Pelodiscus sinensis: one gene and its partner. The protein of the gene in region 1 interacts with the protein of each later gene in a pairwise test. Links are inferred from orthologs where the notes say so. Each region holds a gene or a part of one and is shown on either strand. Other genes may lie near its edges.

Region 1 (15,213 bases):
CTTAACTTGATTTTTGGAAAAGAAAATGAAAATGTACATGCTTCATTTGAATTGTTCCTCTGAGGTGGGGCTGGGGATGAGGAGTTCAATATGCAAGCTGCCCAGAGGAGAAAGAGGAGTACCCCAGCTCTCTCTGACTGCAGCAGCATGGGGCCAGGTGTGAAGCACCTCTCTGTGGTTACTGCAGCTCCAGCAGGCACAGCTAGAGGAGGGGTGCATGTCCCCTGGCTTGGGCAGGTTCAGGTTTGTCTGTTCCCTGTGCTCCCCAGCCAAAGTGAGGAATGCAGAAAACTGCACTTTCCCCTTGCTTCCTGACTAACGGGAACAGCCAGCAATACTCCCATGCAAATCGGGGCAGGGTGAGGTTCAGCACCCTCCCTAAAAGGTAGCTGGTGGGGAGAGGCTTAGGGTTTGGGTTGTCCCAGACTGGGGAGAGGCACCCTCCCCCTGGCAGCCCATTTCACCTGCCTAGTGATTCTGTCTCTTTTTCTGTATGGTTTTATGAGAAGCAGTTCCATTCCAGGCACCCCTCATTTTCTTGATGCAAGCAAACTCTGACCTTGCTTTAAGGTATGATAAGAGGAAGCTACATACCAAAATTTCGTAGTTTTGTGGGCACAATGCACTTCTTCAGGGTTGTGCCCACAAAAGCTCATGATACTCAGAGTCATACATATATATATTTTTGTTAGTCTCTAAGGAGCTAAAGGACTACTCTTTTTTTTAAAGTTACAGACTAACACGGCTGCCCCTTTGAGACATTTAGGAGCAGTTTTTGAACAGACACACAGGGCAAGTCTACACTAGCCCCCTAGTTCAATCTAGGGAGGCTAATGAGAACGACCAAAATTGCAAATGAAGCACGGGATTTAAATATCCCACGCTTCATTAGCATGTTCACGGCCAGTCGCCATTTTAGAAATTGACTAGCCCGAAGTAACTGCCTGTGTCTACACGGGGCAGTGAAATGGGATTCCGAATTAAAGCCCTAAATCGAATTAGCTGTTAAACTTCATTCCAGGAGGAATAACAGCTAATTCGATTTAGGGCTTTAATTCGGAATCCCATTTCACTGCCACGTGTAGACACGGGCAGTTTCTTCGGGCTAGTCAATTTCTAAAATGGCGACCGGCCGGGGACATGCTAATGAAGCTCGGGATATTTAAATCCCGTGCTTCATTTGCAATTTTGGTCACTTTCATTAGCCTCCCTAGATCGAACTAGGGGGCTAGTGTAGAAATACCCATAGACATAGTCTCTCAAATATACAGTAGATATTAGTATCCTTGTTACTGGGTGGATTTACCAACAATTTTGTCAAGCTATTAGTTGAAATACTATTCTTTCATTGGTCCTAGAAGCACTAATATAATGAAAAGCCTGTTATTGCACCAGTAGCTTAGGTGCTGCATGAATGTTTAGTAGGCATTCTTAGAACATTACGTGGACCTATAGATAAGGTGAGGGTGCAGTACAGCTATGGCAGGTAACTCAGAATTCCTTGCTTTTATTAACTTAAATTTACATGGAAAAATTAACAACTTTGAATTACATATCTTAAGTAACTGGAAAAATCCACATTTGAATTTTATTTTGCCCTTTAAAATGCTTTCTTTTGACTTTAAAAGGTGTGTATGCATGTTAGTGCTCATAAAAGCCACTGGCTCAACCACTCTAGCAAATGAAATACTCTATTTATCCACATAAGTTAAGTACATTTCTTCCCACTGCACTTCCAGTGTGTTTTGACCTCCCTGACCTGGAGGATCCACCTCCAAGGTAAATATGTAATTCATTTTCCAGGCCAATTAATACTTTGGTCTTTCTATTAAGACAGTCCATAAGGATGTCCATTAATCTCAGTTCTATTGGTGCTTTTGTAGCTAGTCTTTTTCCACAGGGCATTGGACTGAGATCACCAAACCATCAAGTGATGGAAACAGCAGATGGCATTTGACCAAGCAGACTAGAAACTGGCAATCGCTGAGCCACTCAATTTCCTCTGTTAAGCAGCAGATAGATAGAGTTCTTGTTTCCAGCTCTCTGGTACTGACAGCAGTTGCTCCTGGTGGAAGGAGTGATTCCACCACCATCATTTGATTCTATTCCAGGGTTTTTCCAAGCACTTTTGAAGACAAGTCAGCATCAGTTTTTCAATTTTTCTTTCTAGCACAGTGGACAAACATGGACAGAGAAAATGCTGGATGGGTGTTCCCTCCCTGTCCACATGCCTTAGGAATGAGTTATATCATGCCAGTTTAATGAACATAAGTCATAGGACTTTACGGGCACATCTAAACTACATTCCTCTTTCAAAAGGAATGTAAATGAAGCCGATCGAAAATTCAAATGAAGTGAGGACTTACAAATCTCGTGCTTAATTTGCATAATCGCGTGAGAGTGCTTCTTCGAAAAAGAGTTTTTCAAGAAAGAAACCACAGTCTAGATGGGATTCTTTTGGGGAAAAATAAAAACCCTTTTTTGAAAGAACCTGTATTCATTTTTTCAGGAGTACAGGTTCTTTCGAAAAAGTTTTTTTCCCCCCCAAAACTCCATCTACACTGCAGTTTCTTTTTTGAAAAACCCTTTTTTGAAAAAATGCTCACACGATTATGCAAATGAAGTACAAGATTTGTAAATCCACGCTTCATTTGAGTTTTTGATTGGCTTCATTTACATTTCTCTTTCGAAAGAGGAATGTAGTTTAGATGTGCCCTACATTACCAACACTGATAGGTAGCATCATCAGCCTACAGTTATGTAGTACCCAGACCTGAACATACTCAATGCCAAGTGTAGCACTTATTACAGTGATTTCAATGTGATTACTTAAGGTAGGAATAACTATACTTGCTAGATGGACCAGATCCATAATTACTTTTAAAGCAAAGGGCAAGTTAATACTACCATGCTATAATGCTGTTGGTGGAGATGCATTATACGAACGGGAGAGACTGTCTCATCAGCATAATTACTCCATCAGTGTGAGAGGTGAAAGCTGCTGCCAGGAGTAGGGATTTTAAAATGTGTTTACATGTAAAGTGGAGGGGAGGCAGCTTTTAAGCTGGCTCTCTGCAAGTCCTGGTTCCTGCAGCACTGCCTGCTCCCATTCCCCGAGTGCTGCTGCATTGGGGTGGAGTGGCAAGTGGGAGCCAGTGGTGACAACACTGTCTGCTCAACCCCCACTCTGCTGTCTCTGATATAGAGGCAACGGGGAATAGGCAAAGCTGCAAGTAACCATGAAGGTTTACCAATAAGCCCAGGCTCACTGGTTAACCATTTACATTATCGTATCCCCATTTTTCCTTACCAGTTTGATCCTCTTCATTGATTACACAATTATTATTCCTCTGTCTTACCATTGGAGCTTAACTTGGAATATTTGGCAAGCATGCCTCATCCAAAGACTAAGTAGAAGAGTGACAGATTTTGGTAATAATAGTGTATGTTAACATCAGACACAGACCAGAGAGAAGAATCAAAAGTGCAAAATATGTTACTGTGCAGTTGTTCTAATGGCAGATTTGATTTACCCCAGCTTTGCAAAATCATAAACATTTACTCTCATCCTTTATTAAGATGTTAGAACTTTAACAGGAAAACCTACTCCACTATATAATACTTACCTTTCCATCACTCTCACACCAATATTCCCTCTAATTTTTCCATCCACGTGCAGAATACATTTTGTAAGGTGCACTGAGGCATGATGTGCACCACAAATAGAAACACATGCTGCTGACTATGGATGCTCTACTAATCAGCTGGGTGGCACCTGACTCTCTCCTGGGTGGCCTCCCAAGCACTCAGCTTACAGGGAACATTCCCTTTCACCTGTCCAAAAAAACCCTCAAACCAAAAAAAGGCACTCTGAATGAGTGGGAAAGTATCATTTGAAAGTCTGATTTATTTAATTGGAATTTTTAAACTGTACTGTGTTCTAGTGCTCTAACTTTGGAAAATGAAGGGCTACTGGCGTAATTTATAGTCTATAAGGTAACCCCCTCAAAACTATAGAGTATATTACAGTGTGAACTCTGCTTGATGATAGCCATTTCAATATAACAGTGCTGCAGGCATATACAAGTAATACACGGCTGTGAGGAGAACACAATAATAATACTTTGAACTTCTATTGTGGTTGACATCTAAGGATCTGAAAATGCTTGGGAGATATTAATTAATTAATTACACCTTAGAACAACCTTGCAAAGTTTTACCACTGTTATTTAACAGATAGGGAATTTAAAGAGTTGAAGGCTAGGTTCTGACTGCGATGGAAGTTGAGCATGCTCAGTACTACACAAACAGTGCTCTGCACTTTGCAAGTTTAGGGTATGCCTACTCTGTACTATGGGATAAGGTTGAATTACGGTGTGCAACTTCATCTTCGTTAATTGCGTAGTTGAATTCAAAGTACCTTAACTCGACTATTGGAGCTGTCCACACTGCAGGAAGTGAAAGGGAGAACACTCTCCCTTCAACTTCCCTTAATCCTTGTGGAAGCAGGACTACCCACATTGACCGGAGTGCTCCTCTCAGTTCAAATTAGCATGTCTTCACTAGACTAGCTAATTTGAACCCTGAAAGATAAACAGTGGCAGCTTCAATCTTCTTTGTAGTGCAGACATACCCTTACTTACCTAAAGTGGAACAAGAAAACCACTGATTTATCTATACAGCACTCATCACTATGATGTGTCTACTAGAAAATAATGCCATGCAATTGCCATAAACTAGAGGGCTGTGTCTACACCGGGCCACTTGCTTTTCCGGAAAAGCAATGACGACGATCTACTGTAAAATTGTCAGTGTATTTCCGGAAAAACTATGCTGCTCCCGTTTGGGCAAAAGTCCTTTTCCGGAAAAACTGTTCCGGAAAAGGGCCAGTGTAGACAGCACAGTAGTCTTTTCCGCAAAAAAACCCCGATTGCGAAAATGACGATCGGGACTTTTTTTCCGGAAAAGCTCGTCTACATTGGCCATGGATGCTTTTCCGGAAAAAGTGCTTTGTGAACTTACCACCCAACACTATGGCTGTGTCTACATTGGCAAGATTTTGTAGTGCCTACACTGTCTACACTGGCCGCGAGTTCTTGCGCAAGAACACTGACATTCTAATGTATGAAATCAGTGCTTCTTGCGCAAGAACTATGATGCTCCCGCTCAGGAATAAGCCCTCTTGCGCAACTGTTCTTGCGTAAGAGGCCAGTTTAGACAGGTAACATGAATTTCTTGTGCAAGAAAGCCCTATGATTAAAATGGCCATCGGAGCTTTCTTGCGCAAGAGAGCATCTACACTGGCATGGATGTTCTTGCGCAAAAGCACATCTCTTGTGCAAAGGCACATGCCAGTGTAGACACTCTTCTGGAAGAGTTTTTGCACAAGAACACTTCCACAGAAGAGTTCTTGTGCAAAATCATGCCAATGTAGACGTAGCCTATAGGCATAATATTTATATTTTTGGAAAAATATTCTTAATATACAGATTCCCTTAATGTTTTTACAATTTTTTCAGCAGCAAGGACACTTACAGATTTTTTAGCCTCTAAAAATGAATAAATTTTTCTAAACAGTATTCTTACACTCCAGGAGACTGAGAAGCGTTTCCTTTTGCTGTTCCATTTTCCCCGCACTTTGGAGAAAACATCTTGTTTTATCAAGAAGACATGGTGCTGCCAACGAGAAGGTCAGGTCATCCTGCCATTCACAGCATTTTTTGTGATGTTCAGGACACCTATTTACTGACATTCTATCACAGAGTAATAAAGATAACTGTTCACTTTTATATCAACCTGGAGTTCCAATGTAGTAAACATTCGCTAGGATGAGAATTCCTGTTGTGAGATTATTTTCAATTCTCCTATTCTCTGTATAGCTCATTCCCATAAACTGCTCCAAAACAGAGTCCACTAGGTACAAAAGTTTCACTAGATCTCATGTAAGACCTGTAGTTATTTCTCTAAAGATACACTCAAATAAGCTTCCCAGGGACAGGGAAGTGGTTTTAGGATTGTTTTCAAAAGTAAAGTTACATAGATGATAGGAAGATTCACATTTACTTCAGCTTAAGACTTATTTGTCCTAACAGGCATGACAAAACCTGTCTTCATTCCTTTCTATTCAGCTAAGTACTTCTGAGCGCCAGCAGTTAATCAGTGACCAGATTCCATAAGCCTTTGTTTTCTATACTGTTTTTATTCTTCTTATGTGACACAACCTGTGAATATACTCAGATTCCAGACACTCACAATTTTCAGGGCTGTATGAATCTGGAGTTCTGACTTGGGCTTTATTTATATTGCAACTGTGAATTACTTTAAATATGTTGTGATGTGTAATAAGTAAGTGTCTTACATATAAGAAACAGCAGGCTTCTTAACGTTGACCACTAAGTCAGTTATGGTTATTCTAACTCAAGCTTTTTGAATTAACTTATTCCATAAAACTGGAAAGTTTTAAAGTTGGTCTAAGAAGCAATATAACAGTATCAACCCTGTGTGCTTGTATAGCACAGGGCCATTGTGGCAAAGTACAGTTAGATATTATCACCACATTTTACAAATAAGAAAACTAACACAGAGAAATAAGTGACTTTTCCAAGTCCCCCACCAAGTAAATTGCAGAACCTCGATAGGGATTCAGGGAGTACTTGTCTCCCACTCCTGCATTTAGTCTAATAGATGACACTCTCTATTAAATATTATATAGGCAGAACAGCTGATGTTCAGCTACATAGAGAAGTGTCAAAAGTTATACATACAAAAATGTTGTCACCAACAACCACCGAAGCTGGAGTTAGTGGTATTTAGATGCATTAAAAGAAACAGCAACTCTACATCTTTAAGTTAAATGTGGTAACATTGATTTTCTAAATTGGGTTTCTTACCCAAGTTCAACATTTTAAAAAGACTTTTAAAACTCACCTTTTTTTAAGTGTGAAAAGTTCTGTTCTTGATTGGGAATGCTGAATATTTCCTGCTGACTTTTCCTCAAGTTATAAATCTCAGGCATAAATATCAGACTGTGGACCACACTAGGGAATGCTGAGAAGAGATCTGCTGTACCTAAGATACATACAATGTGCAATGGATAACCTAATATGTCTTTCATTTAACTGGCTGGGCAGGTTTCTACATTCTGTAGAACATGGAATCATACCAGAATTTGTTGGCATAATAGGCCTGTCAAACCGGTTCCTCAGCAGACCAGGAACCTGTCCAACCAGTCTGCATCAAAGGCTAGCCCAACATGCTGTAGCTCAACTCAGTTCAGTTAGGCTTTATAGATGGTAAATTATTCACGCTTCAATCAACTCTCATCATACTACTTTAATAGAATGATGTAGCCTCCAGCAAAATAATTTATCAAGGGCTGGGGGTATGATATATCCATGTCACCTACAGCAAGATCTTATTCTCAATTATCTTTCACTACATATGTAGAAGATGCACTAGTGTAAAAGGTTTGCCTTTTATTGGCATCAATACAGAGAAAAACAGGGAAGAAAACCATTTATTTTAAATAAATAACATAGGTGTATTATAATTAGATGACAGTAAATCTTTACCACAAGCAAACAAAACATCAAGGCCAAATCCTACTTTACTCTAGACCCCTTCAAGGATTCTAAACTGTTCTTTGCAAATGTGATGCAGGGGAGGAGAGGGAGGAGAGTGGATGTTCAGGGCCTGCACATGGAAATCTGGTGAAATCGGTCTGCCAGGTTTCTTATGCTTCAGTGCTGGTGGGTTTTGGAGGTGAGGCAAGTCGGGAAGTGACAGATATGGGTAGTGTGTCCATAATTATATAGAACCTCCGTACTTGCCAGAGACAATCTTCCTCCCATATAGAGGGTACAGATTCAAACAGAGCTACTGTGGCTCTTGCTGCCAGCCACCAGGATATTTGGGGAACTGCCCCAAGTTTGTCATATTTGTTCAAGCTGCATGCATGCGGGAACCAGGAGTTCTCAATAAAATGTTGTCCTTCCTTATAAACCTGTATGTTCTTCCCAGTAAGCATATGAGCCAGAATTTTCAAATCTGGTGGCATGATATTCAGAGATGATGACCACCCTCAACTTCCATAGAAATCAATGGGAATTGAGAGCCTCAGCACCCTTAAAAATATACTTTTGGTACAGGGTTGCCAGGTGTCCGGTTTTGAACTGGACAGTCCAGTATTTGAGCTTTCTGTTCAGGAAACAAATTGAGAAAATATAAATGAGAAAATATAAATGTCCGGTATTTTCTAAATAAGATGTAATGTAGATTGTGATGTAATGTCAAGTGTGTCCAGTATTTTTGTTGAAACCATCTGGTACTTTGGTACCTACATTTAGGCTGTTAACACATACTTAGGCTCATTTAACTTTTACTTAGTGGCCTTACATTAGGTATCTTGGTTTGAAAAAAATCATCCTATTCTTTCTGGACAAAGATACTGGCCTAAGTTAGAAACAGATGTGGATTTGTTTGTGATGGGATCTAACCCCACTATTTATTTATACTGCTGTAGATCCCCTTTTTAATCATAGCTATTAGAAATATAGTGGATAGTGAAGAGAAAATTACTCTCTCCTTTTAACCACCCTTGAGTAATGTGTCCCCCGCTTTTTTTAAATCATAGATCAGGAGAGCTACAAGAAAGGAATGGATGTGTTAGTATGAGACCTATGAAAATACACGTTTTCCTGTGCAAGAGAGAAGCAAATATAAAGGACTTGGAAAGTAGGCGCTAACTGTGAAGAAGGCAAGCAGATTAGTACATCTGAGTTGAAATGACAGATGTGCACTGTTTATGCATGCAGTCACACAACCTCAGGCTATGATTTCATACAGCTAGGCAGGGCTGGGTTTGGTCAGTAATTGGGTAAGAGATTTACAGGTAAATCTGCTGCAGGAAGTGGTTTTGGTGATTCACTGAGTAGTAATGAAATAATGCCAAATATGATAAGGGCATCTGGTGCTGCCATATTTCAGTCAAAACATAAAACAGGGGGCATGGCAACATGTGATTATTAAAAATGAACTGTGAAATCAATGACCTGACTTCTCCTCTAAACCCACTAACTTACAACAGGTCTCCAAAATATATTGTCAGGAATCAATGTTGCAAGGTTACAATGTGCTTGGTTTTTCCTTCCTACTAAAGAAGGCAACACAATTGCTTCATCCTGCACACAGAGAAACCTGAGATGTCCCCTCTCTTGTTTCAGATATTCCCTTTTGATGTACTTTGTAATAAAGGAGACTACTGTAAGGGGACATCACAGAGATACACTGCTTCAACTTGAACCCACTGCAATGTTGCTTTGAAACTGAAAAAAAAAACCTCCCTGCAGTTGTTTATCACCCTCCAGTTTCACTCCTTTAAAGCCACACTAATGATCCTCTGTAAACTCTTCCAATCTATGTAACATTCACAGAGAATCTTCCTAAGAATAAAAGACTCAGCAAGTGGCACAAATCTAAAGTAAAACAACCTAAATGGTGCAGGTGCAGACTTGCTCTTCTGGTAAAAGTATGCGCAAACATTCATGTCTACAAGTATTCATTATAGAGAATTTACAACATACCTCCCTGTAGCTATCAAAAGCTGCTCAGTATTTTCATGAACAAATTCAGATAACACACACACAAATAACACTATCAGAATTAGCTTAAGATCTCTCTTCATGATGAGTTGTGTAGCAGAGTAAGGGCAGTGAGAATTTTGATGCAAACTACAGCATAGAGAATAACCTGCTAAATAGGCCAGGCCCAAGCCTGGGTGATGCAGCAAAGTGGATGAAATCCTCTGCTACAGGGAATCTTGACAGTCAGGGAAATCCTCAAGGTACTCCAGAAGATGCACATGATTTGGCCCTATTCAGCATTTGCTACTGCTCATCATTTGCTGATGAAAATTTCTTAAGTTTTTTTTTGAGCAGGTATTGCAGGGCTGGGCAGTGGTAATGTATTAAGCCAAGTCCGAAAAAGAGAACTATCATTTTTCACCACTCGCAACACAGGAGTGAGCTTGAAAGAAAAATGGGAGTGTTTTTCCTCTCAGAGAAACAAACTTTGAAATGTTATTTGTTTGCATTCCAATTCTGCCTCTTCCTCTGCAGATTCAGAGAGTCCTCTTGTAGCAGAATCAGTGCAGTTCATCTAGTACAGTAGAGAAAGTTAGGAGCTGAGGAGTTTATCACACAACAGTGCATATCAAGCCCTGTTCAGCACAGAATTCTGGTGGGCTGTTGATAAGGCAGATTTGGAATAGAGGAGAAGCAGGCCTGGAGGATTTACTCCAAAGAGATTCCAAGACCCTTTCCACCTCCAGAGGATTTGAGCTCTTCTTGAGGGTCTCCTGGCCATGTAGAGACAAGATCTGACCTTCCTTTGTTTATATAAGAGGAGGACACCAATGCTTATTATTCAGGGATATGACAGCAGCTACTAGTGCTTCCTTCGGTAGCTATTTTAAAATCCTGTTGCTTGTAAATTTGTCCTCTTCTGGTAATAGTTCATATTTTTTGAGTTGTCTTTCTCACTGGTCACTCCTTTTTCAAGCTTATTAATGTGTTAAGCAAACTTGGTCCTAGTATGGAACCTTGGGACACCCTCCTCCTCCCCCCTGCTAGCCTTTGGCCATGCTGAAATCTGATAAATTATTTCCTCATTTAGTTTTCTGCTTTTTGCCTTCTTTTCAATGACCATTTTTGTAAGGCTAAATGAATATAATTATATTTACCATAATAAAAGTAAGTTTAGTGACACAGTATTTGTATTGCATCTGTAAAGCTGCTTATCTGCTTTTAACCAACCTTGCAAGTCACAATCTAATATTTTTAAATATAGGTGGGTATATTAATCCTCAGATAATCACTGTTGTTTCAAAAAACATCTCACTTTCAGAACAAAACAATATCCCAGATAAAACTTGGAGAAACTGGAATTTCCCTAGCTCATGTGTTCTATCCCTGAACAATGCTCTTTGTATTTTGCATGGAAGTCCATAATTAAAAAGAAACATGCAGTGCTTGCACAACATTCTCTTTTGCGCTTTGCTCGAAGAATGAAGTATACTTCCCTTCTTTTGCAATCATTCTAGTCTATCCTTGTGTCTCACAAAGAGTGAACTCAGTTTGGTCACATTGGTCTTCATTGTGTACTCACTAGTTTTATTTCACTACGGGGGCAATAACCAACTTTTGGCACAGTTATGGTGGGCTCAGTTAATTTCTTGAGTAAAACCATTTACTGGAGTTAAACCAGCAATGAATTTAGGCTATTTCCACATACCTCTCTCTGCACTCCTATATAGTCAGTGTTTTATTATCAAACATTTTTATTTAGCAGTTGTAAAATAGGTGTGTCTTCAGTGCAAAATCTGTTTCTAGCTTTCATCTATATCAGGATAACTTTATTTAAAGTCATTCTGATCAGAATTTCCATCACTGAAATAAGTTAAATAGGACAGCTTGATCTTTTGATTTAGCAAGCTGCTGCTATTTTCCTTATACATCCTGCTTCAGCAAATAAACCTCAAAGGAAATTAAATTCCGTAAGGAGTAGTGTAATTCAATAAAAACACAGAAAATGTACATCTGAACGTTTCTAATCTCAGCAGTGGATCTGGAAAAGCTACTTCCATGAATAACACCAACTGTCAGATAAACAGTTTGGATACCTTACATCATGTAAGTTCGTGAACCTGTTGATTTTCACTACCTCTCTTGTATATTCATCTGGAGTGTGCTGAGGACACAATGGTCAAATAATTCTTCAGGCTACCATGTTATGACAAATGGTACTTGTTTAGATAAAAGTGTCCTGCCCTGGACAGTCTGCAATGCAAGTACTATTGCTTATCTAAAGACTTACTAAAACAGTGGTGTCAAATATGCAATCCATGAGCCAAATACCCGTCACTTCATATATTTATGTGGTCACAGGGTAGATTCAGAAACTAAGTTTTCATTTAAAAATAAAAGGCTCAGTGGGAGCTGCTGTATGCTGGACACTGCTTCCCAGGATTTTATAATCAATATGTTGTTTAGTACCAAGTCAAATGCTTTACAGATATCTAAGTGTATTATATCAATCCTTACCTCTATCAACCAAACTTCTAATATCACAAAAGACATCAAGTTAGTTTTTACAGGATCTATTTTCCATAAACCAATATTAATTATAATTAGCATTAACTGCATTCTCCTTCTTTAATTCTTAATCGGGTCCCAGATCAGCTGCTGCCTTATCTTGCCTGGGATCGATGTCAGACTGACAAGGTAATATAGTTGCTAACCAAGGTAAACCTCTTTACCCTTTTTACTAACTGGTACCACATTAGTTTTCATTCAGTCTTCTGGAACTTCCCCAGTGCTTCCAAATTGACTGAAAATTAACATTAATGGTGTAGAGTAAGCTCCTCATCCAGCTCTTGAAACTGTGATTCTGATGTTGCTTAGGCCTGATCTGTTCAAGGATATTGTGTAGTAATTTTGTTGACACAGTGTTATAAATATACTATTTTATTTTTCCCCTTCCCATCTGAGGCCAAATCAGTTAAAACACACACAGGTATGTGCAATGTAATTATTCCTTATGGATCTGATTTATTTTCCTCACTGATGGTTAAAATATAAACTTATCACCTGCACTGGAAAGAATTAACTTTGAAGTGATTTATTACATGTTTCTAGTCAAGGTTTTTTTATGCTCTCTGTTTACCATGGTGTGCATAAGACTACAATGTTTTAAATGCTCTAATGATCAAAAAATGAAGTGCAATGCAGTCACAATGTGAGTATTGTTATTTCCTCAGGTAGGTTTGAGCTTCTGAGAAATCCATTGGAAGTGGGAATATGCTGTGTAGCTACTGCTTCCTTCTGGGCTCAGTTCCCCAATTTGCCTGTTTACACCTGCGGTATGATTCTGCTCCCCAGTTGGATAAGTGTGACTTTTAGAATCAAGCTACCAATATGAATACTCACACTTCTGATTTTAAAATTTGCTCTCCACAATAAGTGTAAAATTTTTAGGCAGTATGTAGCATTTTAGCAATCATTGACAGTAAACATTTTGATTTTCTTGTAAGTATAAAAATTGTTTATTACCACCAAAATTTTTATCAGAAACTTTCCCATTAGAGACACTGAGTCCAGTTTCCACTCTGGGAAACATGAGTGGTATTTCGCCACACCTGACTATTCTGCTTGGGAAGTCAGCTTTAATTTACAGTCATGGTACCATAGCAGGATGTACTATGGCAGTGGTCTCCAACCTTTTAAAGCATGAGATCACTTTTTGAATTTAAGTGCAATCTAAGATCTACCTCAAACCCAAATACCGTTGCCCCGCTTCCTTTGTGCCTCCTTTCTAAGGCCTCACCCCTGCTCACTGCATCCTCCTTTCCTCCCCCATCCTCCCTCCCTTTCACCAGGTTGGAGCAGAGGGTTGGGGTGCAGGCTCTGGTAATGGATTAAGGGATTTGGAGAGTGGGAGAGGCTCTGAGCTGAGCTTGGGGCAAGCCGATGAGGTGTTGGAGGGGGTTCTAGATGCAGGCTTTGGGAGGGTGTTTGGATGCAGGGGTGCTCAGGGCTAGGGCAGGGGCTTGGGATGTAGGAGAAGGTTCATGATTGGGGTAGGGTTTCAGGATGTGGGCTCCAACTGAGCACTGCTTACCTCAGGCTGCTTCTGGGTTGTGGTGCAGTGGGGCTGCCCTGGCCCTGCACCACTCCCTAAAGTAGTCAGCAAACTCCATCCCAAGCCCTGTTGTCCCCCCCTCTCTGCTCTGTGGAGACAGGATACAGGGTGGGAGGGGGGCACCTTGACATCAGTGCTCCTCTTCTCCCTCCCCTGCCCTGCACAGAAAGCAGGAGGCTCCCTGCGATGGCGGGAGGCAGCTCCAAGGCAAAGGGCAGTTGAAATGCCAGCACTTGATAGCCTCTTGTCCAAACCTGTCAGGATCACCTGTCTGAGGCTCCAAGATCTACCAGTAGATCCTGATCTCCTGGTTGGTGAGCACTGTACTATGGTATCTCTAATCACCTTAGCTACATTTGCTACATTTCTTGGCAGCAGGGTCTAGGGCAAGGGAAGGGAACCCTTTTAGAGTCACGGGCTGCTGACCCACAGAAAAATCAGCTGGGGGCCACACAAATGAGAAACAACCAAACAATTAAAAAAAAACCTCCAATCTTTCACTGACATGGCCTCTGACTGAGAAGGAGAAAAACACTCCCTAAAGCCTAGCAGTCCCAGGCTAGTAGATTTCATGTGCTCCAGCCCCACAGGGGATGGCAGGAGGCTGGAGCACCAGCCTGGACTCCCCAGTGCTGGGGGGAACCCTGAACTTCAGGGGCTGGATCCAGGCAAGCCAGGGGCTGCATCTAGCCCCTGGGCCTTAGGTTCCCCATCCCTGGTTTAGGGCAATGTGCACCACTGTGAGAGTCCCAGCCAGGCAGTCTTTTTACTACTAGTGGAATGGATGTGTATGTGAAAAGAGCCCATAGTCCCCTGTGTGTCCATCACAATGATATTCTAAACCAGCCCAGGACATTCATTTGTAGTTTTAACACCTCAAGGGGTAGGACCCAGTAACTGGTTCATGTCTGCCCCCAAAAAAATCAGGGGCCTGATTCTGATTCTTGCAAAGATATGAGAGGAAAAGAAAGATTTAAAAAAAAAAAAAGAGCATGAAAATATCCCCCTTCTCCACCAGCTCTAGTGGGCCTGATTTTCATCACATAGGTGTACATTCAGGAATAATGCTATTCAAATCAGTGGAATTATATCACTATAGTTAGATCAGAACTGGAGTTTGTTGACATCTCAGGATTTTCCCCCTCAATACCTCCATTAATTTGTTTCCTTCTGGCAATGAAATAAAATCAGTCGTTCTCCTCCCCTGAAAATTCGTTTTAAATTGCACAATCTTTGTTTCAATAGTACTTGACAGATTCCAGGTTGTGCTAATAGCTGTGAGAAGTTATAAAGATTAAGACCTTGGAGATTCCAGGAAGATGCTCTAATGTATTAAAACATACATATGTGCTGGATTTAACAAATTTAATCTTTTTCCCTGAAGATACAGCCAGAGGAGAGACTAATGCCAAGGTGTCAAAGAACATGTATATTCTCCCATGTAAACATTCACTGACACTTTAGCATTAGAACTTTAATTTAAATTTTAAACTAAGTGCTAATTTAAGCACTTTAAGA
Region 2 (15,569 bases), on another chromosome or scaffold:
ACTTGTTCCCATAACACAAGAACTAGGGATCGCCAAATGAAATGACGAGGTAGGTTTAAAACAAAAGGAAGTACTTCTTCACGCAGCGCATAGTCAACCTGTGGAACTCCTTGCCCAGAGGGTGAGGTGAAGTTCAGGATTCAAGCAGGGTTTGAAGCGATTTCAAGAAAGAGCTAGATAAATGCATGGAAGATAGGTCACACCCAGCAGGAGGATCTGTGCAAAGCTGGCCAGCGCTCAGGGCCACCGCTCCTGGCTGTCTCTGATGCGGCAGACAGCGGCACGTCTATGGTAGTGGCCATCTCCATGTGCAGGGTGCTCTGGCTGCTTCTGTCCAGCCTCTCCCCAGGGCGCAGCAGTCCCTGCAGGATCTCCCCCTCGATGGGGCAGCCGTTTGCGGAGCAGACAGACGCTAAGCAGCATGGCTTGGACTCATCCTGGTACCAGAATGTAAGAAATTCAGGCCTCAGACCCCATCAGCTCAGCCTTCCTAGCCTCGACAGGACTTGGGGCAGTGCAAATATAATGGGTTTAGGAAGAGACAGTCCAAGCCCAGCTGCTTCTGTCCTAAGGCTGCCTCTAAGCAACCATTCTGAGGGTCCCATCGAGGACAACGTACTTCTCACACGGTCGGATCCTTTCCCTGTGACCTTTCCTCCCAGCCTGGCACTCTGTCACCACAGGCTGCTGGGTCCTCTGCACGGTGCAGCAGGGTTATACCCACCAACTCTCCTCTCCCCGGTCCCCCTCCCCATCCCTCTTCAGGGACCCTGCCCACAAGATGCTCCTTCTACAGGAAGCCAAGCTCTTGCTCAGACCGGAGGCAATGGAGGAAGTTGCACAATGCTACTGGAACCAAGGGTTTATTACCACTACTTTCTAGTCCCCCCGGGTGAGAGGGGGGCTCCAGCCCATTTGGGACCTGCACAGGATGAACCGCTACCTGATGAGGCTGAGCTTCCATATGGTTTCCCTGACCTCTCGTTCCCTCCCTGGATCCGGGCGTTTTGTGCGCTGCCCTCGATCTCAAGGACATTTACTGCCACATTGCCGAGGGTCACAGTCGTTTCCTGCGTACCGTGGTGGGAGCGAATCGCTGCCAGTTTGCAGTCCTCCCACTTGGCCTTGCCACAGCCCCTCAGGTTTGCACCAAACACCTGTTGGTGGCGCCCACCTTCAGAGGCCAGGGCTGCAGATCTACCCTTACCTGGCCTATGGCTTCTCGATGGCAACTCCAGCGCCAAGCGCCTCCCCACTTCCTCCAAGTGGTAGCAGATGCTTTGGGCCTGGGCTGAAGCGCCCATCTCAGTGCTCTCCGGGCCGTTCGTAGGGCATGCAACATCTTCCTCCCTCACCTGGTGGGCAGGGTGTCCAAATCTTCATGGACAACGTGGCCATGATGTCAACCGCAGGGAGAAGGGGGGGGCCAGGCAGCCACACTCTGTCCAGAGGCGGTTTGCCCCTGGCAATTCTGCATCCAGCATGACATTCATCTGGAGGCCCGTCCCCTTCCGGGCGCAGGAAACCTCCTGGCCAATCAGCTGGGCAGGGAGTTTTCTCACCATGAGTGGGCTCTTCATCCGAAAGTCGTGGCCGTGCCCTGCCGCAAGTGGACCTCTTTGCAACAGGGCAGAACACAGTGTCACAGCTTCTGCCCGAGTGGTCGCAAGGTCCCTGGGAGCTGCCTTCCTCCTTCATGCCCACTCAGCCCCGCGGTTCCGGGCAAGGCCAAGCAAGAGCGCTCGCAGCGTGTTCTCGTCGCACCAGTGTGGCCTTGGCAGCAGGGAACTTGCCACCGGACTCCCAGGGAACCAATTCTCTGTGCTTTACGCTGTCGTTACCCAGCTGCTGTCGCACCTCGCAGCCAGGGGATGTTTCACCAAGCGCGTTTCCTTTGTTTTGTGACTAAAAATCACCATGCTCTGATCCTTGTGTCCTAGAAGGCAGGAGGGTCTCTGTGCACAGGCCTTAGCTGACCTTGCAGTCTTTGAAGACAATTACAGGTATTTTTCCAAGCTCTCTCCAGGGGATGATTAAAGAGCTTGAGGGTACCCAAAGGAGTCTTCCTGGGTTTTCAAAGGGGGAGGGGCTGGATTTAGATGGTGCCAACGATACCACCCAAGGCCAGGGAATCTGTGACCTTGGGGAATTTTTAAACAGCAGCCGTTAGCAGCAGGGTATATTAGTCTCTTGTCTATTTTCACACTCGACGTGCGAGGATGGGGAACAGCCCTGACACACGCCCACAGATAATCCTCTCTTTAAACTGGTCTTTTGTGTTTTTTTCTTTTAATGACAATTGCCAATTGCTCTGCAAAGTTTTCGGATGCTGCTGCACAGAGGCCTGTGCCCTAAATTGTCCAAGGGAACAGAAGTCCAGCTTGGATTTTTACATCAAATGGTTTAGAAAAGCTACAAATGGGAAACGACTGTTTTAGTCCAAACAGAAAGATCTCTACTGCTACCATCCAAGGACTGTGTTGAGATCATACGTGGGAAACAACCAAAACAGAACCAGAACTAAATGGACCAAAATGGATGTGATGGTAACTGATGGACAAAGCCCTGAGAGGATTCCACCTAACACACCCTTTTTGGGTCTTTAAAAAAAAGCGTTTGTGGGTGGATCCAAACACTGTGGACAGGGTGAACTGAAAGGACTTTACCAGCATGCCTGCCACTCCTCAGCCCACAGTGATGCAGTTGTCTCTTTGCCCTCCTGATTTTGAGAGCGGCCCTGATCGGACGGGCTAGAGATAGAAAACAGACACAAGAGTAGACTACATCTTATACCAGAACTTCTTGTGCATGTCAGTGAGGTACCCAATGGACAGTCAGTGCATGGCGGAGTCACCCCAGCTTGCGTTACACTGTTTGCACAGACAAGCCCAGAATGGTGTCAAACTGGGAAATCTCGATAAAATCTCTCTGTAGTGAAAGAGAAAGGGACTAAGGGTGTTGGTAAAACAAAAAGCCTTTTTTCATATTCTCCATTTTAAAATACGGTTTGTCCGTTTGCTGTATTTTTTTCAAGTTATACCCATTTTTAGTGGTGCTTATTGCTATAGACTAAGCAGGCCAAATGCTGTTCTCTGAACAACCAATGAGACGTGACTGTTCTGTGCTGAGACCATTTATTCCATTGAAATTATCACGACAGTTTGAAGAGAAGCAGCTCCTTGACTGAACTGATGCTGAAGGCGGCTGGAAATGGGCCCAGCTCCATTTCACTGATGTTGATGGTGACACAAAAATGTTTCACTTGCAGGATCATCAAACTGCCAACGCTCTGCTCTTCCGCTTCAGTGGGAAAGTTTCATTCAGCAGCAAGTTTGATTTTTATTTTTAAAAAATCTATTTCCTGCACCTTTTTATGTTAGAAAAATCATTTGATTTCATTGTTTCTGCCCAGGGCAGTAAGAGAGCCGTCGATTAGTCGACTACCCGATAAGCTTAAGCTTATCTGTAGTCGAGTCAACTACTCGCATCCCCCCCATAGCAGCGACAGCAGGGGGAGAGGAGCAGGGGAGGTTGCTCTGGCAGCAGCCCCTGTCTATGTGGAGTCCCAACTTCCCACGGGGAGCCCCACAGACAGGGGCTGCTACCGGCTGGGCAGTCCCGCATCGCACGGGACCAAACCCCGCGGCGGCTCTGCAATTTAAAAGGCAGTAGGGGTCAGGCAGCCTGCCTTCCGGCTCCTGCTGTGTTTTAAATTGCAAGGCCACAGCGGAGTTTGGTCGAAAAGGCACTGAGCTGGACTGCCTGCCCACCTGGCTCCTACTAAATTTAGGAGCCAAGTGGGTAGATAATCTGACTCAGTCCCTGCTCCCACCAGGGAGCCCGACCCCTACTGCCTTTTAAATTGCAAAGCCACAGCGGGGGTTGGTCCCGCGTGATGTGGACTGAGCAATGCTGCCTGCCCCTATCGAGTAATCAATTACTCAGTAAAAATTCTATCCACTACTCGATACTAAAATTACCTAAATTTAACATCCCTACTTCTGTCCATTCAACTCCCTTCAATTCCCAGCATGCTGAGTGGCATCCATTCATATTCACCTTTAACCCTCTTTTAAACTGCTGCTTGGCAGATCTGATAGCTTTCAGAACAGTGGGAATGAGAAAAACATTGCTGTAAACTCAACAATGTGAAGTGTGCAAATAAAATGCACTTGATATAGAACCACATTAGCAGATGCCGTGGTGGACCAGGCTCCAACGGCCCCTGCTGGAGGCTTATGGCCTTACCATACTCTGCCAAGCAAACCACAGAGAAGTCCTCCAGGAAAGATAGGGTGGCACAAAGGACCTGACCAATGAGGGCCCAGCAAGCCAATTAAAAGGAAGCTGTTGCACCAGAGCGAGGCAGTTCTCTGTGGAAGCTGGAGGCTCAGGCTTGGCTGGAGAGCTGGGTTGCAGGAGGGTGGCCACAGCAGGACATGCAGGTACTTGGCTGCGCATACGAGATGAGTGGCACCCCCATTACACCTTCCTGTCAGACATCTGGATTGCCAAATGGTTTCAGAAAAAATACTGAACAGAAAAAAAGGACCCCAAGAGTTGTTAAGAAAAAAAAAAAGAAAGAAACGTGTCGTGAGGCTTTTTGGCCCTACCAGGCTGCCGGCAGCCACCCGCCATCTTGCCTCCCTGTGTGGGGCTGGACAGCTCCTCTGCGGAACCTGGTAAGCACTAGGGTTGTCAGGCTGCCTCCGTATTGAGCCGGACAGCCAGGGATTTTTGCCTCCTGGCCGGGGGAAAAAAAACAGAAAGTCCTGGACATTTTAGGTGTCCGGTATTTTCTGAAGTTTTTTACCGTACAGGAGACAAAAGTACCAAACTGTCCGGTTCAATACCGGACACCTGGCAACCCTAGACATCTCTAGAGTCTAGAAAAGCAGCCCTTTAGTAGCTCACTTCTCCCCCCGCCTCACTAGCCAGGGATCACTGATCCCACATATTAAGACACCCCCCCTACACACGCAAGAGCTCCATCCAGTCTCCCTGCTCTTCAATGGGTGATGCTCACTAGTTCCACCTCACTGATAGGAGCTAGAACAGCTCTTCCCTGCCCTCCACAGGCAGGGAGCTGCTCCAGCCCACAGGGCCTACCACGGGCAGGGGGTGCTCTGATCAGCCAGCTGGATCAGCTCCTGTCTGTGGTGGGCCTGGCTTGGCTCCCTGCCACAGGCAGGGCATGCGCCAACCAGCTGGCTAGAGCGGCCCTTGTCTATGGCAGGGGGTGGCTCCAGCCCGGCTCCATTCTCCCCTCCCCCCGCCTATAGTTGGTTAACCGGTTAAACATAATGGTTGACGGGTTACCCAATTAAATGGGATTTTGCATCCCTAGTTTATGCATGGGGCCCTGTTTATTGCCCACCCGCTGAATTTTATGCAGAATTTGCTGACTTCTGTGTCTGTTTCCTGCCACAATCTCTGGCTGCTCTCGCTCCCTGGCATCCTAGGGATCCCAGTGGCGCTCCCAGCCCTGTTCCAAGGAGAATACAGTGGCAATAATGAAACATGCGTTAGTCACAGTGGTTTCAGTGAGGAGTGCTTTCACTCTGTCCCATACGTCCCTGAGCGCTGGGGGGCGAGCTGCAGCCAGCGCCAGCTTTCACTAGTAAGCCTTTTATACGCTCACCAACCGCACGCCAGCCTGGAGGAGTGTGTCTGTCTCCAGAGTGGGAGCCAAAATACTTCCCAGCTCCCCCCCCCCCTGGGGAGGGGCCAGTGCTGCCAGTGGGCAGAGGGTGCAGAGGGGAAGGTCCCAGGGCTACCCCTAGAACAGCTCCCTGTTGGAATGTGCGCCTGGAGGACACTGAGCATGCTCAGTAGCTCTGCTGAAGCCAGTGCCCTTTGCCCTGCTGGCTGCTTTTTACAGGTGGTTAAAAAGGGACAGAAATACCTGTCATGGATACCCAGACACAGGCTGATGAAGAAAGCCAGGAGGTGAGGGTCAATCCAGTGCCCGGTAGCAAGGAACTGTTCTCAAGTCTTGATGTTTGAGGATGCTCAGCAACTCTACAGGGTAGACACACCGCATACTGAAGCAAGAGCAAGCACACAGGATAAGTTAGCATACGGGCAGGGTTGGGCGCAGGGCAGGTGGCAGCCAGGGCGGCGTAGTAAATTACTCTATATAGTCAGGATGGGGGAGGCAGCAGTATAGGATGACCAGAGGCTGCCCTATTAAGAGCAGTTACAGACAGATACCTTGCATGTCATTGCTCCCTATAGGGCTGTGCCTACTGCTGGTAGCAAGGGCTTGGCATAGCATCTTCTCACAGCTGCACAGACCAGTAAGGGCTGTTAGTAGCACAGCTCTACAGGCTCAGTGACAGGCAGCCAGCATAGCTAGGGGTTGCACATAGCACAGACCTACAAGGAGGCAGGACAGGCAGCCAGCGAGTCTAGGGTACCGGTAGTCCTACAGATGCAAGGATAGGCAGCTGGCGTGTCTAGGGATACGGTAGCACAGACCTACAGGGTGCAGAGACAGGCAGACAGCGTGTCTAGGGGCTGCTGGCAGTGCAGCACTATAGATGCAGGGACAAGCAGCTGGGCTACGTCTACACTGGTACCCTTTTCCGGAAATGCTTAAAATGGAACAGTTTTCCGTTATAAGTATTTCCGGAAAAAGCACGTCCACATTGGCAGGATGCTTTTCCGGAAAAGCACTTTTTCCGGAAAAGCGTCCATGGCCAATGTAGATGCGCTTTTCCGGAAAAAAGCCCCGATTGTCATTTTCGCAATCGAGGCTTTTTTGTGGAAAAGACTACTGTGCTGTCTACCCTGGCCCTTTTCCGGAACAGTTTTTCCAGAAAAGGACTTTTGCCCGAACGGGAGCAGCATAGTTTTTCCAGAAAAACACTGACAATTTTACAGTAGATTGTCACTGCTTTTCCAGAAAAGCAAGCGGCCAGTGTAGATAGCTGGCAAGTTATTCCAGAAAAGCGGCTGCTGGTATTTAAGGGTACCAGCAGAACAGCCCTACTGGCAAAGGGACTGGTGGCTGGTGTGCCTAAGAGTACTGGTAACACAACCCTAAAGGCACAAGGACAGGCAGTCAGCATGTCTAGGGGTGCCAGTAGTGCAGCACTACAGCGTGCAGAGACAGTCAGCCAGCGTGTGTAGGGGCTGCTAGTGATAGTCCTACAGGGTGCAGACACAGGGCATGTCTAGGGGCTGCTGGTAGCACATCCCTACAGGGTGCAGGGACAGGCAGTGGTTCCCAATTTTATTTGGCCACAGAACCCTTTTAAACTCAAAAGAATTTTGCAGAACCCCTAATAAAAGTCTTATATAGAGAGATGAAAAATAAACCACAACTAAGTAAGGATAATAAACATGCTAATCAAAGGCATGAGATCAACACAAATGACAATTGTTTTCAATAAAATGCCTAAATATTAATTATTTTTTAAATGATAAAATGTTGCTGTGATGGAATTTTCTCACGAAACCCTGGGGATCTGCAGAACACCACTTGGGAAACACTGCGCTGAGCGTCGTTAGCACAGCCCTAGGCCAGGCACATGGAACTAGGGGTACCAGCAGCGCGGCGCGACAGGCGGCGGGACAGGCAGGGGGGCATGACAGGCGGCGGGAGGCGGAGGGACAGGCGGCGGGGCGCGACAGGCGGCGGGAGGCGGCGGGGCGCGACAGGCGGCGGGACAGGCGGCGGGGCGCGACAGGTGGAGGGAGGCGGAGGGACAGGCGGCGGGGCGGGGCGCGACAGGCGGCGGAGGGACAGGCGGCGGGGCGCGACAGGCGGCGGAGGGACAGGCGGCGGGGCGCGACGGGAGGCGGAGGGACAGGCGGCGGGGCGCGACAGGCGGCGGAGGGACAGGCGGCGGGGCGCGACAGGCGGAGGGACAGGCGGCGGGGCGCGACAGGCGGAGGGAGGCGGAGGGACAGGCGGCGGGGCGCGACAGGCGGCGGAGGGACAGGCGGCGGGGCGCGACAGGCGGCGGAGGGACAGGCGGCGGGGCGCGACGGGCGGCGGAGGGACAGGCGGCGGGGCGCGACAGGCGGCGGAGGGACAGGCGGCGGGGCGCGACAGGCGGAGGGAGGCGGAGGGACAGGCGGCGGGGCGCGACAGGCGGAGGGAGGCGGAGGGACAGGCGGCGGGGCGCGACAGGCGGAGGGACAGGCGGCGGGGCGCGACAGGCGGAGGGACAGGCGGCGGGGCGCGACAGGCGGCGGGAGGCGGAGGGACAGGCGGCGGGGCGCGACAGGCGGAGGGACAGGCGGCGGGGCACGACAGGCGGCGGGAGGCGGAGGGACAGGCGGCGGGGCGCGACAGGCGGCGGGAGGCGGAGGGACAGGCGGCGGGAGGGACAGGAGGCGGGGCGCGACAGGCGGCGGGAGGCGGAGGGACAGGCGGCGGGGCGCGACAGGCGGCGGGAGGCGGAGGGACAGGCGGCGGGAGGGACAGGAGGCGGGGCGCTACAGGCGGAGGGAGGCGGCGGGCAGCCCGGGCCGGCAGCCCCGCTCCTCAGGCCGGCGGGCGGGCGGTCGCTGCGGGCGGAGGGAGACGCGTAACGAGGCCCGGCGGTGAAGCGGTTTTGGCGCGCTGCGCGCAAGGGCTTGTGGGATTGGAGCCGCCGGGAGCCGCCATGGCCCGGGAGGAGGCCGCAGCCGCCATCGAGCGCCTCTGCCAGGAGCTCAACCTGGACGCGGCCAGCGCCGCCGGGGCGCTGCGGGACTTCCGGGCGCTGCGGGGCACGTACAGCCTGGAGGTGCGCGCCGGGGAGCGCGGGGGGCGGGGCTGGGGCGCGGGCCTGGCTCGGGTGCAGGGCCTCGCCCGCGGGGCCCGGTGCAGCCCGCACCCACAGCGGACCTCGGGGTCACCCAGCGTGACTGCCCCCCCCCCCCCCCGCGCTCAGCTATGCCCCGCCCCCGGGGCATGCCAGGCCCCACCCCCTAGGCTAAGCCCCGCCCTCTCCGCTAAGCGCCTCCCCCCCCCCCCCCGGGCCATGCCAGGCCCCCCCAGCTAAGCCCCTGGCATGAGGACTCCACACCCCCCTCCGCTTAGCTGTGCTTCGCCCCGAGCTAAGCCCCGGCATGGCAGCCCCTTGCCCCAGCCCTGCCAGCAGAGCCGGGCGGTGGAGCAGTGCAGTCAGCCCGAGACACCGAATGCAGAGCAGCCGTTCAGGGCTGCAGCCCACGTTCGATGCCTTGTTCTGGGACAAGCCTTGGAGCGGTTCAGGAGGTTTTGCACCTGAAATTCACACCCTACTTAACCCGAATTAACTTTAAAACGTCAACAGTCCTGAAGGGCTAGTGAGTCACTGTGCGTTTAAAGTCTTTTCACACTCGCTTTCCAAGTGGTACCTTTCTGGGATCCAACTGCGGCCCCTCCCAGCTCCCTTCATTTGTCATTGAGGTTTTGGGGAGCAGTTCATCCAGAGCATCTCACAACACTTTTTTGGTGGCCTCAGATTGCAGCCACCATCTCTTGCTCATAGAAACACTGACATTTTTTTCTAAAATACAGTGAAAGCTTTGTTATCCAGCACTCAGAGGAGCTGGGGGAAAATGCAGGACAATGTAGCACTTTAAAGACTAACAAGATGGTTTATTAGATGATGAGCTTTCGTGGGCCAGACCCACTTCCTCAGATCAAATAGTGGAAGAAAGTAGTCACAACCATAGATACAAATGGAGCTGGGGGTTACCTGTTAATTGAATGTGCCAAATACTCAGCTTATTGCTCCATTCCCACCCCATGCTGGCAGATCCAGCTGGAGGCAGGCTGAGGGAGAAGGAGATGCCTGCTGATGATGTCTGCCAGCAGGCAGTAGTCCTGCAACCGCCAGTTGGACTGGTGAGAGTTAGGTGTGAGCCAGCAGATGTGGCTGGGGCAATGCTGGTTAACACAATTTTCCAGTTAACAAAGTCCAGATAAGCTTTCACTGTACTTAATTAACTTTAGGAAAAACAAATATGCACATATACATGTCCAAATCACTAATTTATTTATGTAAGGTTTTTTCCCTCAGTCAATAATCAAATTAATGTACAGTTTTCTCCATTTTTCACTGGACGTAAACAGAATAGAAACAAAAATAAGATCCTTTGCATGTTTTTGTCTTTTGGTGTTTCTTTTGTTTTTTTTGTTTTAGATTTGTAAATTCTAGTAAGTCTTCTGTTCTTTTTATGTTTGTTAATATCATTTTCCACAGAATGACTCGCTTACAAGCTGGGAGGCAGTGGAAAATGATATTAAACATACAAAACCAATTTCGCAGCAGATTACTCAGGCCTAGCAGGTTGGGGGACACATTAAGCCCTGGATAGGGAGGTAGGTTGGAAGGCAGCAAGGACGAGGGGCAATTTGGTGGGGGTGAGGAGTTGGGGAGACAATGGGGGCCAGTATTGATTGGGGCATGGCAAGCCTGGAATCAATGCTGGAAGCCCAAGGTCAGAGCCAAAGCCCAGTGACCAGGGCCCAGAGCCAAATAGGTGCCAAAATAGGGGAATTTTCTCTGGCTTCCTGCTCCTACAGCATTTCTGACTCCAGAAGGGGACAGGTCTCATCCCCTGTTGGTGACCCTTGGAGATGGGCTGCTATTTCCTTCCCCCTCATATCACTACCTAGGAGCTTGTGGCCACAAGAAAAGCCCCTGGTGGCCACATGCAGCCACAGTGACAGCATTTGAGAAACACTGAATTAATCCCTTCTGAATTCACTTGTCTTCTGGAATGGTCAGTAAACACTTCTTCCCATGATGAAAAAGATATTTATATTTAAACAAACGCCTGTTTAAGAAATAGGAGGATTTGATCTGGCTCTTATTCTTTGTGGGAAAACCAAAGTGGGTATATGCGTCTGCTCTCACATGGTGCTAGGATGATCTTGATACTGAGGAAGTTGGCAAATGTCATTGTGGAGCCTTTGGCTATTATCTTTGAAAAGGCGTGGCGATCGGGAGAAATCCCGGATGACTGGAAAAAGGCAAATGTAGTGCCCATCTTCAAAAAAGGGAAGAAGGATGATCCAGGAAACTGTCAGTCTTACCTCGGTTCCTGGAAAAATCATGGAAGGGATCCTTAAGGAATCCATATTGAGGCACTTGGATGAGAGGAAAGTGATTAGGAATAGTCCGCATGGATTCACAAAGGGCAAGTCGTGCCTGACCAATCTGATTAGCTTCTATGATGAGGTAACTGGCTCGGTGGACATGGGGAAGTCAGTGGATGTTATATACCTTGACTTTAGCAAGGCTTTTGATACGGTCTCCCACAATATTCTTGCCAGCAAGTTAAGGGATTGTGGATTGGATAAATGGATGGTAAGATGGATAGAAAGATGGCTAGAAGGCCGGGCCCAGCGGGTAGTGATCAATGGCTCGATGTCAGGATGGCGGTCGGTTTCTAGCGGAGTGCCCCAAGGTTCGGTTCTAGGACCGGTTTTGTTTAATATCTTTATTAATGATCTGGATGAGGGGATGGATTGCACCCTCAGCAAGTTTGCGGATGACACTAAGCTGGGGGGAGAGGTAGATACGCTTAAGGGCAGAGATAGGGTACAGAATGACTTAGACAAATTGGAGGATTGGGCCACAAGAAATCTGATGAGGTTCAACAAGGACAAGTGTAGAGTCCTGCACTTGGGATGGATGAATCCCAAGCATAGTTACAAGCTGGGGACCAACTGGTTAAGTAGTAGTTCTGCAGAAAAGGACCTGGGGGTTACAGTGGATGAGAAGCTAGATATGAGTCAACAGTGTGCCCTTGTAGCCAAGAAGGCTAATGGCATATTAGGTTGCATTAAGAGGAGCATTGCCAGCAGATCCAGAGATGTCATCATTCCCCTTTATTCAGCTTTGGTGAGGCTGCATCTGGAGTATTGTGTCCAGTTCTGGGCCCCCCACTACAAAAAGGATGTGGACGCATTGGAGAGGGTCCAGCGGAGGGCAACCAAAATGATTCGGGGGCTGGAGCATATGACTTATGAGAGGCTGAGGGACTTGGGTCTGTTTAGTCTGCAGAAGCGAAGAGTGAGGGGGGATTTGAGAGCAGCCTTCAACTTCCTGAAAGGAGGTTCCAAAGAGGATGGAGAGAGACTGTTCTCAGTGGTGACAGATGGCAGAACAAGGAGCAATGGTCTCAAGTTGTGGTGGGAGAGGTCCAGGTTGGATATTAGGAAAAACTATTTCACTAGAAGGGTGGTGAAGCACTGGAATGGGTTACCTAGGGAAGTAGCGGAGTCTCCATCCCTAGAGGTGTTTAAGTCTCGGCTTGACAAAGCCCTGGCCGGGTTGATTTAGTTGGAATTGGTCCTGCCTAGAGCAGGGGGCTGGACTTGATGACCTTCTGAGGTCTCTTCCAGTTCTATGATTCTATGATCTTAAAGATCAGAGCAGTCGTGTCTTATTTTTTCAGTTTAAGTGTTAAAAGATGGCTGGAAGTCACAATTAGTATTTTGGGGCAGAGTTTTTATCTGTTTTTTTACCCTTTTCACCACTTATTTGTAGAGAGAACAGAAATCACATGCAAATACAGCTTACTGTAGCTTCTGGAGCAGGGAGTGGGAATTGCTAGAACATGCTAAGTACCCCCTAGATCTATCTGGCATATGATCTCTTGTTCCCTTGCATAAGTTAGAGCAGCAGCCAAGTTTGATCCAACCTAGTTTAGCGCAGAGAATCAGTAACTGATAGTTTGATGGAGCAGGAGTTATTTTGGCCATGCCTATACTACAAGCTTATATTGAGTCAAATTACATTAGCATATAGATGCAATTGTTAATACATTGCTTGTGTGTGTGCATACTTGGTTGCTTGTGCCAACAGTGCTCATACTCACCAGGAGTGCTTGTATCAATGCAGAGTGGAGTGCACTGTAAGTTGGTAATTCCACTGTATGACTCGCCTCCATCTAGTGCACTGTCTTGAGAAGTTTTGGCAATGCCTAATAGGGCTGAAAGGAGTCATGATATGATGATTGGGAGCATGGGTCCACTTTGTAGTCTGCAGCTGTCTTCATCTCCTGATGCTTATCGGTAGCCCATAATTTTTGCACCTGTATTTCAAAAGCCCACAAATCTATATGGTCCTTTTTGCTGTCATCTCTGACAGAACCATGGACACTGCATAGCTTTTCACTATTGTCATGAACATTACAAGCACAAGGTACAGAATTCTGGAGTATTTGCAGAGCTGCTTGAAAAAAACCAAGCAGTGGGGGACATGATTTTTTGGAGGACAGACCGCTGTGGGACTTCATGAGAACCAGTTCAGGGTTATTGGTGGCGTTCACAAAATAGCTGCTGATGGTGGAGTGCAGCTTCTAGCATAAGTAAATTAATTAAAAGTACAAAAGATTGGGTCCTGCTCCTTTTTTTTTTTTTTTTTTTTTTTTTTAAAGAGGACAACCCTATAATTGAAAATTTATGTGCACTCTTACCTGAGGTTCTTTCCCCTGCATTGAGCTTGCTCATACTGGACTGTGGCGAAGTCAAATACAGGCTGTCTTTGCTGTAAGTCCAAGGTACATTCCAAAAAAACTTGGACTTGTAGTGAAACAACTTAAAGTGGGGAATTTTTTTCCCACAGCTGACTTACATTTGCACAAATTTTTTTTGCACGACTTACCAGGGAATAGGAGGACTTATAATGCATCAGTTCCTACAAGCGCAAATGACTTCAGTGTGGAATGGATGAATCCCGGGATGACTCATAGTGAGGATGCCCTGTATACGTCCTGGCTCCCTGTGCAGCTGAATGCCCTGGTTCCCCCTCCCTCATCCTCCTCTTCATCCAGCACCACCTCCTTTTTGCTGTTCCTGTCAGGGGCTTGTGACTCAGGCTGCTGCCAGCATGCTGTTGGGGATGGTGGTGCAATCTTCCCTAAGGATGGCATGCAGCTCTTTGTAAAAGCAATAGGTCTGTGGCTTGGCACAAAATTGATTATTGACCCCTCTGGCCTTCTGGTATGCTGCTGCAGCTTCTTGGCACCCTTCTCCCAAATCTGAACAATCTGCTGGTAGAGGTCAGCATTTCTGTGGTTGGATCAGAGTTGTGTCTTGTGTCTCCTTGAGCCCAGGAACCCAATATATTCTGTCTGCTCTAGGCAGGAATGTGTAGATGGCATGGTTAAATAGGCAACACTCAACAGAAAGCTGCTAGGTGTGCTTGCCAAGCTAGGTAATCAGGAAACAGAATCCCCCAAATTTGCAGGGCTTTAAGGAGGAAAAGGGAGCTTTCAGTCTTTGTGACCCCTGGCAGTGGAGTTCACGATGATAACCACAGAAGTAAGTGTGGAGCATTGTTGGATGGTTGCTCAGGGACAGTTAGGGTTGACTCAACTAACACAGTGTCTGTACTCACACTGTGTTGACTGAAGAACATCACCTGTGACTTTATGTTTCTCAGGGAACTGGTGTTCCTATGTCTGCATAATAGCGTATTCACATGGAATAGGGATGAATTTAAGTGTAGATAAAAGCACAAGCAGGTTAATGTAAGCTTGTATGGACCTTATTTATAGTCTAGACCTGGCCTTTTTTGCGCAAACACTACTAGCTTTCTAAAATAGTTTCTGGTGTACTTTCTCTGGAGTCCAAGCAGTACTAGTTTAAATTCACACCTTAGGTTTAAAAAGTGTAACTTTCCCATGGAGGTGAGATTTACTGTATAAGCACCTCCATGGGAACCCCCGAAAGGGGAAGAAGAAAGCCCCTTAGGTCTGGAATGCCAGAGGTGAAGAAATCATCCTGTGTTTCTGGGATTTCTCCTTTTCCAGCCAGCAAAGACCTCTTGGAATCCAGACATCACCTCAGCAAGCTAATGCCTGCTTTGGACAGGTCTCTTGGCTTATCTTTACCAGCTATTACTTGTGGGACAGGCTAGAAGCATTGTTTGATACTCATCCTGATTTAAGCTTTGGGAAGCTTGTAGTTACTGAGTTTGAGGAGCTTGTCGAGATATAGTTTAAAGAGGGCTTTTTAAAAACTGATATTTTGACTTGCTTAATCTTTGTGTCCAAGCAATAAGATAAAGGCAAGGCTTAGACTTTAGAATGGTGATTCTTCTATTTTGAAAATATTTGCTTATGTACTTCAGAAATAACTTATAAAAGGCAGCTTTCAAAGGATTGTGTGTACTGATGTCTTCTGATAAGTCAGTGTAGAAGTTGACTCTAGGCATCTTAGTAGAAGAGGGTCTTGGAAAATCTGAAATGACTTTTACAAGTCTGGAGAGGTCATTTCAGTCGTAAGGAAACAAGGAAGAACTTCCATGTCAATGTGCCAGTAGGGGAATAAAATAGACAGGGCTGGCTTCACTGATGTTGCAGAAAAGATCATTTTTAGCTGCTTAGTGGCCAGATTGTGGTGTCATAGAGTTGTACAGTACATTTATTATCTTTAATACAGAGGAGTAGTCAGCAGAGACCTCAGGGTTCTGCAGTATGTGGTGGTTCAGTGTGAACTAGGGCAAAATTACTGGTATATTGCAGGCCTTGTAGTCTCAGTTTTTAGGGTAGCCCTCCACGCCTAGGAAGATGTGGTGTGATTTGATTTGGGCAGTTTTGATTTCTTTGCTCCAGCCAGGTTAAAAAAC

What was found.
Region 2: the proteins of RBBP8 (region 1) and RBL1 interact in a two-hybrid assay, tested with the Homo sapiens proteins (2 studies listed by BioGRID and IntAct). The link is inferred for Pelodiscus sinensis from reciprocal best matches to the Homo sapiens genes RBBP8 and RBL1.

Annotation. Positions count from the first base shown.
Region 1 is NC_134712.1:78,290,556-78,305,768, forward strand, and holds the start of RBBP8 (DNA endonuclease RBBP8), read right to left. Parts: upstream 7,118-15,213; 5' UTR 6,928-7,117; intron 1-6,927. UniProt on the Homo sapiens protein: Endonuclease that cooperates with the MRE11-RAD50-NBN (MRN) complex in DNA-end resection, the first step of double-strand break (DSB) repair through the homologous recombination (HR) pathway.
Region 2 is NC_134728.1:32,848,279-32,863,847, forward strand, and holds the start of RBL1 (retinoblastoma-like protein 1), read left to right. Parts: upstream 1-8,506; 5' UTR 8,507-8,618; coding exon 8,619-8,741; intron 8,742-15,569. UniProt on the Homo sapiens protein: Key regulator of entry into cell division. Directly involved in heterochromatin formation by maintaining overall chromatin structure and, in particular, that of constitutive heterochromatin by stabilizing histone methylation.